3 linked regions of the Drosophila melanogaster genome follow. The gene in region 2 interacts genetically with the main gene of each other region. Each region holds a gene or a part of one and is shown on either strand. Other genes may lie near its edges.

Region 1 (4,891 bases), on a different chromosome or scaffold from region 2:
GGTAATTGCTGTCGTAGCTATTTCGGTAGGTTTTATTGTCTGATCCATTGGGTCCCTGCTCTGGTCTGTTGGTTCGCTTGTTTTGTGCCCTATATAAGGTCTGCTCTATTTGGCATTGCTCGTACGCCTGTTCAAGTGTAGAAGGGGACTTTATCCTGACGAAAGTCTTGAGAGGTTCCTTCAAACCAGTCATAAAAGCATTGAGACAAACCTCGTTGTAGACAACCTTTTTTGCATCTACAACAGTGTTGTTGTGTTCGCTGTTTTTGAGTATGGAGAAGAGTTGGCTTCTCACCTTTGATATACCAAAGAACAGTTGGCCCAAGGTCAGGTTGTCCGAAAATGTGTTAAGCTCGCTTAACAAGTTGGCCTCGCTTTTCTTGCTCGAGTAGAGGCGGATGAGATTGCTTTTAATCTCATCCCAAACCAAGGGGGTATTTGCCAGTTCCAAGGCTTCGTCGGCCCTATCAATGATTTTGTTCCTGATGGTCCTCAGAGTAAGCAGGCCATACGGTGTTTGGTCAGCTCCCCTGATGAGCATCAGGATTTCTTCTACGCTAGTGATAAACCTGTCCAATAGACGAGGTGTACCATCAAAGGTTGGCAAATGCTCAACAAATGCCATGATATCTTTAGGCTTGAACGTAGTTGAAATTAAGGAGCTAATACCACTGACAGTGGGCGCCAGAGGGGATGGAGTGGGGCGGGCAGAATCGTTTCCCGAGTCCATATTGGGGGTTTGGGAAGATATTGATTTGGGTTCTTCCGAAATCGGGAGAAGGGAGTCAGGACGTCTAACGGGATGTGGGGGCCTATTAGTGTTTGGTGGAACTCCAACAACTGAACGTGTAGTTTTCCTAAGGTTGTAAACGAACTTTTTTGACATTAAATTTGAGGTTACTTAGTATATTATGTATGATTGAAAAATAATGAACAAATTTCTTGTTTACTAGAGTGTATGGGTGTCTGTCTTTGGCTTTATATTTTCCCTTTTATATTCTGCAATGTGATTGGTATTAGTATTTGTTTGATATACAAAATTACACAATGAAAGGAAACAAAATATATCTGTATATGTCGACTTCTTTAGTACATTTGTTTTGGTTATTTTGAATGTGCAATACATGAGCGTAGCAACCCATTGTAGAAGAGTGAAAGGCAAGAACACTTGACGATACTCAAGCGTTTTCCCCTTACCTCGGCTACCCAGACATGGGTGCGCCACTACACATGCAGTGTCGTTGTCGTTGTGGTACGCAGAATGAGCCTCGCTTGGTTTGAAATGATTTTTGCTTATGTTTTGATTTTTCGCCGACGTATGGCAGTGTGCGTTTTGAGTGTACAATGTATTAGAGAGGCTTTGGTGCTTTGTTTGTTTACCACGGTGGCATGGTGATCAGCGTTTGATTCCATGCCAACGAGGCGGTACAGTACGTGGATGTATTGGATTGTAGTTGATATTGTATGCTCACATATATAAGTGTATATAGAGGCTTTGGCGATGCGTTGGCCAGCGTATGTAAGTGCCGATGACGTGATGATCAGCGATAGATTCCACGTCAGCGCGGCAGTACGGTACACTTGCACTCTTTTTTTTTTATAAAAACTTATGACGTTTGGCAGAGTATGGACATACCGATGGCGTGGTGATCAGCGATAGATTCCACGTCAGCGCAGCAGTACGGTACACTTGCACTTTTTTTATAAAAATTATGACGTTTGGCAGAGTATGGACATACCGATGGCGTGATGATCAGCGATAGATTCCACGTCAGCGCGGCAGTACGGTACACTTGCACTTTTTTATAAAAATTATGACGTTTGGCAGAGTATGGACATACCGATGGCGTGATGATCAGCGATAGATTCCACGTCAGCGCGGCAGTACGGTACACTTGCACTTTTTTATAAAAATTATGACGTTCGGCAGAGTATGGACATACCGATGGCGTGATGATCAGCGATAGATTCCACGTCAGTGCGGCAGTACGGTACACTTGCACTTTTTAAAAAAAATTATGACGTTCGGCAGAGTATGGACATACCGATGGCGTGATGATCAGCGATAGATTCCACGTCAGCGCGGCAGTACGGTACACTTGCACTTTTTTTTTGTATATTTATTTATTTTACATTTTTCCTCTCTCTTTTTTTTTCCTGTGTTTGAATATATGTTTGAGTTTCATTTGGTACTTCACAACTTCAATTTTGTTTTATAAAAATTTGTTCCTAGTCACTTTCAGTCGACATCTTGCATATAGTTTGTTTCGTTTCTTACATGTTTACTTACAGGTAGGTAATTATTAATAGGTAGGACATCCTACCGGCTGCGCCAGTTAAGTCCGTGATCGAGGGTGGAGCCTTTTGTGAAGATATGATGTGTAAATGTATGAAGGTTTTTAAGTTTCAGCAGATAGTTGTAGTGTGAAGATTTCCAATAAAGAATACGACTGACTTTCTTGAAGTTCAAAATCAGTATGAAGTTTATTGTCAGAGAGTGGCTACTCGAGTCCTCCGTTTTCGTCTTATACATAAGTACATAGGTTCTTAATTGTAAGCATAATGAACATGCCGACTCGGCATGTGGCTGGCTAGCTGGGGACAATGTTGCAGTGCGACTTTTGTGTAATGTCAGCATTCGGCCGGAATGTCAGCATTCGGCCGGATGCGGTGTTCCAGTTGCCGTCTTCCCGGTTGAGTGTCCGATGATTTGTTTAGAGGCGTGGGGGTTTAGGGGGTGGGGTGGTAACTCGCGCACACCCACAGCACCACTAATTTCACTACGCACTCACACAAACACACACACACACATGCTATTTAAGCCAGAAGATTTTTGTTGGCTTTGATGGCCGTTTTTTCCATGTAATTCCTTCTTTATTTCACTTGAACTTTACCATCTATTGCGGCTTAATTGCACATTTTATGGCCCAGACATTGACTGCAGTTTTCCCGACGAATGTGCGATTCTTGTTTGCCTTTTTGTTTTTCGCCGAGCACATTCCTTTGGCATCAAAATTGGAGCCTGTGCTCCCGCAGATTACTCCCGTTGCCCAGTGTGACCAGCTGACCCCAAGGGCTCCAATCAGGGTTGAAGGTTTTCCGGGAGCTGCTTTGAATCCTTTGGCGGCATCATGCGCAGATAAGAAAGGAAGTCTTGTATATATGCACCTATAGTTACTAAGTTTTTTTTAATTGTATGTGAACCAGAATTAAAAATTGAAATAGTTGCTTACAATTCTATTCTGATAAACTAGACTCTGCATTAAAATCATCTAGAAAAGTCCTGCCCTCTGTTATTAATACCTAAATATCAACAATCTACTCCTTGGTTTTCGCCAACAAGAAGAGATACGGTTCCCGTATCTTTTCACTTCGTAACTAGCAACACTTTTGAACTCGTACTTTAATTTTGAAAAATTTGATTCGCTGTACGTAATCCGTAAATAACCTAGCTTTTCCTATTTAATTTAACCCAAATATGAGTTTAATTAAATGTTCCAAATGTAATTGATGTAAATGTATCAGAAATTGTTAAAGAAATTGTGCTTAGAATCACAATTCTAATCACTTAAAAGCCTCTGTATGCATTTTCTGTGGTGGCTTGTTAGCTAAACAAAAGTTTATTATTGGCGCCAATTTCAAAAAGTCTCCAGTGTGCCCAATAAACACACAATTTTACATCTTACATTCATGCTCATTTCTACACGCCTCTTTTATTTTACACAGCCTAGCGGCAAAAATAGGAACTATAAACGTGCTGCCAGATCGAAAGAAAATTAACTTTAGTTTTGTGCGACATCTGGTGTTAAGATTCTAAAAGGCTCACAACGGCTTCTATGGGACGGTAGCGAAACCAGCTTGGTTGTATAGAAATATACATTTTACAACACAGCACCGTGTATGTTATTGAACACTAAAACTTTTGGCGCTAACTCATTAAAAAATTCAAATTCATACGTTAATTCATGGCGTCTTGTTCTTTGTACAGATAAAAAAAGTACACATAATTTTCGATCAAATTTTTTTTTTTTTTTAACTTTGTTTTCTATAGCATTTTTATATGAAATTATATGCAACTAGTGGTGAAAAACTGGAAAAATCAAAAGTCACGCCATCTAACATTCAAGACACAAAAACATATTTATTTAAATTTGTTGTAACTTAAAGCTCGAGTTAACTAGTTCTTATACATGTCACAGAGCACCTTTTCCATGGGCGTGTTCCCAATAGTGCGCTGAAAATAGATGGACTCAATCTTGTGGGAGCTGATCATGCGCAGCAACGGCAGCATGAGAAGGAGTCGTCCGAATCTGGCTATCTGGGCGGTGAACTGCGTCTTTGTGTGCTGCGACAGCATCACCTGTTCGTTAAGTAAAATTTCAATGAAGCTTTTATTGCTTTTGAAAAGTGCAGTATATTTACGTGCGCCTGATCCTGAAGATTCTCTATCTGCGCCGGATCTTTAAGTCCGCGCGTTTCCGGCCGGAAGAGAACTATCGCCTTGAGGCACGCGAATTCAGCGGGGTCCACCAGCACCGCCTTGTATTTGCAGAAGATCTCGTGGAGCGTTCGCACATCCGCCGCCAGCTAGCAGAAATTTGTGGTCATATATATAATATACATATTAGACGGAGTCCTGTGTAGACTTACCTCCTCCTTTGTTATGCAAGTGTCGCCATTGGCATTGTTCTCTAGATTATTGCAGTGCTCCGCCACCGAGAAGAGGGCGCAGCCGGTGGGATCCAGGGGAATGCACCATTGGATTGCGTTCAGCAGGAACAGCTCCGACCAGGACTCCTCCAGCAAAATTACCTGCACACAGGGGATATTTCGTTATGTTTTGAGTAAATGACCCTGGCTGCTATTGATCGGTTTTTATATTAATCTCACC
Region 2 (4,613 bases):
TTCAGTTATGCCAATACTAATTGAATAAATCCTTGGCCATTTAACCAGCTTTTGTAGATCAAAGCTCAAGTGGGATAACGAAGCCATAAATTTGCGAGCAAATTCCTTTAGGATTAGCACAACTCATTGGTTGAGTATACACGCACATAATCAGCTTAAACAAATAAGTGAAAACTAATAAGAAAACAGAATTTCGGGGCACTTGCCGAAAAACTAATTAACACCCACGCCTAGTTAGGTTCCTCTTTTTCGCATTTTCGCCCGAATTTCGGAGTGCCTCCGCTCAGCGTTCTTTTTCATAAGCCACAGCACTTGCAGCGCCACCAAATAGTTAAAAAAGAACGAAAATAAAAGATCCAGGCTATAAGAGAAATACCTGGTCGAGAGAAGAATGCGACACCGTTGCAGGTGGCAGTAAAAAATGGCTGAAATTTCTCCAGCTCAACAGCGAACTGGCGAAAGGAGCCGCCGGTCATCCGAGGCTCAGATCAGGACACAGCTCATTAAACGCCGGCCACAGTTTACCTCTCTCGACGGATATTACACGGCCAAAATATAATACGAAGAGCTGTCACACCATTTATCAATGCCAATATTATGCTGTCCGTTTTATTTGAATAAAATCTATGACAATATTCAAAATTTGAACTAAGCGCCAGGAAGTTCGGTGAACACATTGTGCTATTTCAAAGGATTTGATTTTGGTTGGAATTCATAATCTCTGGGTTAGCCAAATTTTTAAGCTTATGCATGTAAAATAATACGAATCCAAAAGGGAGCTCATTATACTGTAACTTTGGTAATGGGTGACAAACTAGATGAAAATAAGCTAGTAAAATAATTCGGAAAATTTTTATATTTCCCTTTAATAATGACTTATGACAAAAGTTTCGTAGATTTCTGGAAAAGTATGACATAAAGTTTATACGCCTTTTATATTCCTTCTCATTAAATAAGCACTTTACTTTTAGGAGAGTTAGTCAAAATGTGTAATAACTCCTTTTAACAGATTTATTTATTTTTAACTCAAAAATCCTGCCGGAGTTTATTTTTTTACAGTGTGCATCTGTTTGCTTGGTCCTATTGTTATTTTTAAGCCGGTCGCAGGATAATCCGAAAAGGCTGGCGACGACTTAATGTGCCCCTTGGCTGTGCTAAATAGCTTTCATTATTTACTTTATTCTCCCATAAAGCGTGCGAAAAAGTTTGGTCCGAGCCATTTTTACAGAGCTGTGGAAATTCCACTGCAAAAACAGAGCAGGATATGGAAAACTGCAGAGATAGACTGGGAAATAAATGTTCCTGCTCGGCTGGTTAAAGGTTTTCTCGTTTTGTTTCGGAACTTTTCCGACTCAGCTGTTTGTGGACACTTGCCAGCACTTTTCTTCGTCCTTCGCCTTCGCCTTTTCCTCTTCCTCCTCCTCCTCCTCCTCCTCCTCCGGCGGCAATAAATCATTTCACATATCAATCAGTCAATCAAATAAATGTTTGACTGCCGCCCAACTGACTGCCCCTCCCTCATCCGATATTGATTGTCCCACTAAATACAATTTTTGCCTAGTCAGTGGGTTGCTCGAAAGTGAGGATGAAAACTCTGCCAGGCAGTTGACATTTTCCATCAACAAAAAATGGGCAAATCGAAGCAGCTAGGACTGAGCTCAAGACATTGTTGCCTAGTTCCCCAGCAACTATGGGAAATGTTTACCAAAAAAGGATGAGCCCGAGGTCCCGGAGACACGCTCCCTGGCAATTGACAAGTTTTGTTTGCCTGTTGGATGAGACGGGCACGCCCTTCTGTACATCTTCCGGCTTATCTTCCGCTGGCTGGGATGTGAAAGGAAACCCCCGGAATCCTCAAATTGCCTTGCCAGGAGCAGGGACATGGTGCATCAAAATTAAACGTCGCAGATTGCGATATATGAAATTACAGAAGCGCAGAGGATGCTTCAAAGTTCGTGAAAGGTTGATGCTTTCGCTGAACTGGCTTATGAGCTGTTACTCAAACGTTATTTGCATTCCCTTGCAAATAATATTCTCAATTATAAACTTTATCAACTATTTTTCTACAACTCTGTTGTGAAGCAAAATTAAAATATTAGTTTTTCAAATTTCAAATGTTAAAAAACTGTTTTTCTTTTAAATAACATACGCTCTTGTGCGTTTCTAGTATACGAGTCTAAATATTCGTAATCATATCCCAATACCCTTCCTGACATCATATCCCAAAGCATCAATTTGTGTCAAAGAGATTATAATGTATTCCTACCTTCAGGTTATTTGGGTAAATTTTCTCTCTTATTATTTTCTTGTACTTTCAATGCAACTGGCTAGTCATATTTCACATGTGAGTATAAGGTTTTGTTTTTTTTGCTTTTTGGTTCTCTCGCTGCGCACAATTTGGCAAACAATTTTATTTTATGCAATTTTCGGTTGATTTATCAGAGAATCCTTTAAGGCGCACCGAGCAAGTATCCTGTCCTGGCGAATGGGGATTTGGTTGTTGGCTTTGGCTGCGTGGCTTCTTGTTGCTCCTTTTTGTGCCCGCCTAAGCCGTTCACTCCTCCCGATTCTGCTGCTTCCTCGTTCCTTATCTCATTTCGCGTATCACGGAGCTCGTTAAAATCACCTTAGAACACGTGACTGCACAAACACACTCGCACTCACACACACACATGCACTGGTGGCGACGAAGCAACAGCCTTACCCACACACACACAGTTTGGGACTATCGCAGATCCTTCGTCGGATCCTTTTCCCTATTTTCCGCCTTCTGTTTTGGTAAATGCTATGTCAGAAACACAAAAACTGCATCTCGCACACACGCACGCCACAGCAAAAATTGGGTTCAGTCCTGCGGTTTCAGTGCAGTTCAACCATTTTTTTTTAAACAATTTTTTCTGTTATTTCCGATGCTCGTAATACTGCGAAAATTGAAATGATGATCTACGCACGTCCTTACGCACGGACAACGCAATGTAAACTGCAGCAGGAGTCGAAGGATTCGCGACACTGCGAGTCCTGTGCACAGATTTCCCAATTGGCGAATGGCCAACGAAGATGGTTCGGAGAATCCGACGTCCTTCATCGGAAAATCACGAATGGAAAAGCGAGGAGAGAGAGAGAGAGAGCACCCGTGTGGTGGGTTTCTTATCCATAAATGCTTCTATTGCTAACTCTGCTTGGTTCCCCTTCCACTGCTTGATTTCCCCTTCCCACTGCTTTGCCTAAGAGAACTGCTTCGTTTTGACTGCTTGATTGTACTCACCACGACTGCCACTTTAAACGGCAACTTACTGTGTACAATATAAAAAAACCAATTGTAACATTATTTTTAAATTTAATAAATTTTTAAATTTTAAATTTACTTTAAATTTTTTAAATACATGTTAGAGTTTAATTACAAGACTTCGGAAGGTAAGTATGCTTAAATAAGCATATATTTTAGAAATACTTCTTCCTGTCTGAGTGTACGGAAAAAGTATATGGAAAGTAAATTTAACGTGGTTAATTCAATTTTCAACTTCTTTCGAAAGAAATTTATAAAAATATATATATTTTCCTACTGTTTTTGAAAGGCCGAGGAAACACATACTCAAATTATACTTATGGCCACTTAACTATGTCCTCCCATTACACAACACTTCCTCTACTTAAAATGGGACCAGCATTGACGAATGGAGGCCGAAACTGGCGACTCTCGGGCTGGTCAGTGACTCCACTTGGGATCCAAATTCAAATCCAGCATAATTGTAAATCAAGCCGCTTGCCAAAATGTCCCGCAAAAGCCCACTCGAAGTACTTAAGTGGAGCATAGCCCCATGTAGATGACCACCAGACTGGGACTGAGATGGCTGCAGAAATTAGTTGCCATTGGCAAAGGCACTTTGCGCCCAAAGTGTCATAATCATAAAAATTTGCAATTATGCTGATGCAACACGGTAGCAACCACCGGCAACTGGAGCAAAACATTTCCAGTTCATTAGCTCAGCCACGCCCCTTTTGCCGCCCGTTTAGTTCGTGTAAGGACACACATTCGATTTTGTTGCTTTGCAAGACTTCTTGGCACGAGGCGAGGCAATACAAATTATGCAGACAACTGGAGACAATAAAGTCATTAACCTCTATTCCAACCAGGCTAAAAGAGTTCAAAGCGGCAACGACTTAATGTACATATATTACAAATGTTTCTACAAAATTAAGCAAATCATATTAATCTAATAATCTACTAAAAAATATATTTAGTTGATTTTTCATAGACATCAATTTATTCATATCAAATGTTTGTGCGTGACTATTTTGCTTATCACTTAATACATGCTGTGCTTTTGTTTTTAATTTTTTTTTCTTTTTCAGTTAGTTTACATAAATTCATTTCTTACAACAAGTGATTTCGTTTAGTTAGATTTCATAAATAATTCACAATATTTTTTTTTTTTGCTTAAGACGGTTTCCTATATAAATAATTTCAAAATAAATTAATCGCTTAAAATAAAGGCAACTACGACCTATTGGCACACTGGGAAAACTGTGCACTTTCCCGAGCGCAGCTATGCTACTTGGAATTTGAGTACAAATGCGAGTATAAGTCAAGGTCAAGGCTGTGTTGTGCGGGA
Region 3 (4,695 bases), on a different chromosome or scaffold from region 2:
AGCCACCCACCACTCGCTCAATTTTCCCACTCAGCTTAGCCGCCCACGTTGCACTCTACGTGCTCCAGCTTTTTAATTGCACGGCTTAGCCGAGGCGCGTTGGCATTTTGTAAATTTCGTTAATTGGAAAATGTGCCAGGATTCATTTTCATCTATTTCCCAAATGCCCCGAACGCCATGCGTCGTGATCCCGAGCGGTGTCAGCTGGCGAACTCGGCTCAAACTGGATTTATTTTATTGCGGGCTAAATGGAATTTCCAAAATGGTTATCGCCAAAAGCGTTGCCATTCGCTTATCCTGCATGCAGGAGTCTCTTCATTATGCACAAGTCGCTCGCTGAATGTTTTCTACTTTCGGTTGCCATCCTGATTGTATTTATCCATAATATTTATCCATTTTGACGAAGCCCTCGAGGTGTGAAGCAATTGTTCGGGCTGCAGGATTTATTATGCATAAAATTGCAGCATAAAGTCAAATAAAATATGTATTGAAAGTTTTATTGTTTGGCAGCCGTTCTGCAGCAGCGATGCCAACGCTTTTCCCACTCCCACCATTTCCCTTTTCCCGCTCACATATTTGCACATAGTACACATTTCATGCGGAACTGACGCTTGTGTGACGCTAGCAGCATTTTGTTTAAAATTGAATTCCTTCAATGCATTTACCTAAATTTAATTCCTTCTCATGCTGCTGCCCCAAAACTTTCTGTTCGCAATTTTTGCCACGCTCCGCTTCGCTTGGTTTTGTTTCGCTTTGTTCGTATTTTCAACTTTGTGTGGGTGATTTTGAGTTCGCTTTATACCATATATGTACATACATATGTATATGCTCTGGGCTTCTATTTGCTTTAATGAAGCCGAACTCTCTGGACAGGCTAGCATATACATATATGGCATATGGCGTATATACGTGCCGACACTGGCTCAGGATCAGGATCGGGATCCTGGTAGGAGGGCTGTTGGCTTTGCAAATATCCTGCGGCTGTAGCGTTTATATGAGAGCTTATTATTCCCTCTTATATTTTGCCACTGGTTGGAAACGGAGCTGCGCAGTGGATTTTGTGATTTGCTTTTTATGTGTGCCACCATATGGGGCAGTAGCCAGGAATCCAAGAATGGGGCCACGCACATGGAAAACTCCCATGTTGGATGCAAGGCGGCAAGAGGCGCTTAGCGAAATTCATGCAAGGATTTCACTGGATTGTTGCCAAGGTTGCTCAGCTCGCAAAAAATATGCCGCTAAAAAAATGACGAGTGGAGTGAGTGGGGAGCAGGAAGTAGATTTAACGTTTTTAGTAATGGATTTATCAAGAAACCGTAGTTGAAATCTGATTCGGTACTGTCAGGAAAGAGCGAAGTGAATTCAACAAGCCAAATTTAATTGGGTAATAATAAAGAACTGGCTAAATATATGTTATAGTCTAAAAATATAATTCACAAGCAGCAAGAAAAATTCTACCAAACTAATGACTTTCTTGGCCTAATTTGTTTTCCTTTCCTATAGCAACGACATAAATCTCAGCTCTCAAGTGACCATCACAACAGCATTCCACTCAAAGATGAAAATTTGAAAGGCAAACAAATCTGTCCCATAAGCAAACCCCGGCTGTCTGTGGATCCTGGCTAGCTGGCTGGGATCTGGATGGGATGGGATGCAATGGAATGGCATTGCGAATTGAAGGCGCAGCTTCCGGAGCACGGACTTATGGCTACAAATCAGAAGGACCAACTTACCCCCGGCTGCTCTTTGGCTTTCCCTGGCTAGCTAATCCAAAGGACAGAGGAACTTTCAAGGCCTTCCAACTGGCAAGTTTAATTTATGTTTTTGCTTGGCCAACAGATAGAGAGCAAAACTTTTGCTGCTCGCAGCTATTGTTCCAATGCACTGACCCGTATTTGCAAAGATGTCTGCATAAGCAATTTGTATCTTGTATCTACTATCTTTGTATCTTGCGGATGCTCCGATGCACTTTCACTTTGCCCCGCCAGACGATGGCAATTGTGATAAATTATATGCCACGCGACCGATCGGATTGGATCGTTTCATATCAGATGGGAATCATAATCAAAACCGAAGGGGGCAGGCTGTACGGCCGACGAACTGTTGCGCCCACTCTCACACACACACACACTGATATACTCATATATATACTGACCACTACAAATGAAACCGCAGTGTGTTATTGTGTCATTAATTTGTGCGCTCTCTTTGTGTGGGAATACTCCTTTTTATTGCTGCTTTTTTTGGCGCTTAAAGTGCGAAAACTGACTGGAATTAATTGATGATCCGCACGCAGCTGGAGTGCGGTATTGGTATTGTTGGTTGATTGGGAAATGGAAAATCGAAAATGGGAAATCGTTAATGAGGCAGAGTGACGCGTTCACATTTCCATATGATTTAATGATTTACTTCGGGGGTCCTTCTATCTGCTCTACTACGCACTTTTACGAATTTTCCGCAACTCACTTTTCAGTCTTGCTGTTTGTTTGCCCGCACTTGGAGTTTCATTTTCATTCGCATTTTCCGCTTTCGGCTGTTATTGCTGCTCGTAATCCGCTTTTGCCCTAAATTTCGATTTCCTTTCGCTTTTTTTTTTGCACTGCAGTTATTTCGAACTTCGCTTTTTCCAGTTCTCTTCAAGTGTTTTGATAACTTGAGTGTATTATTATTTTTCCGGCACGTTGTGTTAATTCGTTTCTTCTTTTTTTTTCGTTGTTGTCGTTGTTGTTTCTGGTGGGCGGTAGGGGCGCGGCACACGAAACGTAAACGATGCGCAGCACTTACGGCGCTCGAGAGTCACGCACAAATGGTCCGCCGCCGCCTCCTATTCCTCTAATTAGCCACATAAATTGCAAGTTGGCCAGGGCCAAAAGAATTCAAAACACACTGTCTAGAGAATCGCAATCCCTGCTGAGTAGTGGTGGCAATAGTGGCAAGCGCCAGCAATGGCACAGATATATGTAGCCAAACACGCTATCGATATATAGAGCAGCACCCGCACGACGAACCAAACGCTGTGAGCCACGGATAAGAACTAAACAACATTCGCAGCTGCCGCTGCTCGGCTGCTGCTGCTGCTGCTGCTGCATGTTGTTGCTGCCGCTCGTTGCTGCTCGCTGCTGCTGCTACGGGGTAGCAACACATGCCGCATATCATTCACGATTTTTCACTTCGGACGGCGACGAGCTTCGGATCACGAGTCCTGCCGCGCTCTCTCGTGCCGCATGTTGCTCGTGCGAGTCCTCGTGCAACATGCGGCCAGGACGTGACCTTTGGCAACTGGTCGAGTGTTGTTTTGGCTCTCGGGCGCGCTTGCAGCCAATTAATGGGCCACTCGCCATGTGATTTATTGGCACCGCTCATAAGTCCCCCCCCCTCTTTGCCCAGACAGGATAAACAAAAAACACATGCATAATTTCCATAAATCTTTTATGGCTGCGTGTAAAAACTTTCGGCTGGGCCAATTATGCGGACCGAACTAGGCACTAATTTGACAGCAAAGTGCCCAAAAGGCTTTATCCCTCCTTGGGGGTCAGCCTAGGTCAACTCTGGCCACCCTCCACTCCGCCGTCGTTCGAATCGTGTCCATAACTTACCACATAATTGAGTTATCCCCCGGTTAGGGGCATGAACAAGCTTTTGTTGTCGTCCTGGCGAAGGATTATCAATGGCCTTTGAGCATTTACTATCGCCCGGTGGTTTTGCTGCTTGAATTGCTCAATTTTGTTCGGGCTTTGATCTGTCGTAAGCTGTGGGTAATGATGCACTTAGCCATTATTGGTTAATTTTAATTGGGCGTGTGACACGCTTTAGACGCTTAAGAAATGTATGCATGCATGGCATCCTGTTTCAATTCTAGGAGTTGTAAAATCGATTAAATGAATTAATATAAATAATAAATTAAATAAATAAATTCTTAAGTACTCTGGTATGCAAATAAGCAAATCAATATATTTACTTAGGGTTAATAATACGTTGATTGAAAATAAGAACAATTACAGCTTTCCATGGTAAAATGAACTTATTTCCCCTTTTAACTCAATTGCCCTTAGGCACATGCAACATGTTGCTACAACACATAGGAATGTTTCAGAACAATTCCATTATTCCGCTCTCTCGCAGCATTGTTGCGTTCGTTAAGTGTTGAGGGACAATGATGAAAGCAACATTTGCTAAGGAAACACGAATATGTTTTCAAATTGCCACATAAAGAAGAAAAGTTTATTGAATATAATTGGTTCATATTTTTAGAAGTTAAATTTCAAATTCAATTAATATACATCCTTTCTCTTGTTATGTTCTTGCTTTCTTTTTTAATTATAAATGAAACTGAAAACTATAATAAAATAAATTCAACTAGCTTATTTTAAATACAACTTTTTTCCAAAACTTGTGAACTCAGTGAACTCAGCTTCCGGCTGGCCATAAAAATATTCGCCACTGTTGGGAAATGGGAACAGATTGTCGCATGGTAATGCAGTTGCACCTGCCAAGCTGTTGCACCTCTAAGCCACCAAGCCACCCAGGGCACTTCGATGGCAGCTCGGCCTCCACTTTTCCCGGGGCATTAGCCTTTTATGCAGCAACGTTGATGTTGCAGCTTCAGCTGCTCGCCCGCGGCAACCTTCACACCTATGCACATGACGCACTCGTATTGTATGGCCACTGCAGAAGCAGAAATGTTAGAAAATAGAA

The links.
Region 1: of beat-Ia (region 2) and unc-5, changing one enhances a phenotype caused by changing the other (phenotypic enhancement), as found in Drosophila melanogaster (one study listed by BioGRID).
Region 3: of beat-Ia (region 2) and side, changing one suppresses a phenotype caused by changing the other (phenotypic suppression), as found in Drosophila melanogaster (one study listed by BioGRID).

The regions. Positions count from the first base shown.
Region 1 is NT_033778.4:15,338,607-15,343,497, reverse strand, and holds the start of unc-5 (unc-5), read right to left. Parts: upstream 3,027-4,891; 5' UTR 2,895-3,026; intron 1-2,894. Other genes in the region: Hr51 (hormone receptor 51), read right to left, coding at 4,178-4,360, 4,423-4,587, 4,651-4,812, 4,891-4,891. UniProt on the Drosophila melanogaster protein: Receptor for netrin required for motor axon guidance. Mediates both short- and long-range axon motor repulsion in the developing nervous system upon ligand binding. Also involved in glial migration.
Region 2 is NT_033779.5:16,048,364-16,052,976, reverse strand, and holds the start of beat-Ia (beaten path Ia), read right to left. Parts: upstream 3,013-4,613; 5' UTR 2,267-3,012; intron 1-2,266.
Region 3 is NT_033777.3:27,434,457-27,439,151, forward strand, and holds the start of side (sidestep), read right to left. Parts: upstream 3,027-4,695; 5' UTR 2,467-3,026; exon of another isoform or gene 1,734-2,466; intron 1-1,733. Other genes in the region: CG44290 (uncharacterized protein), read right to left, coding at 4,506-4,665.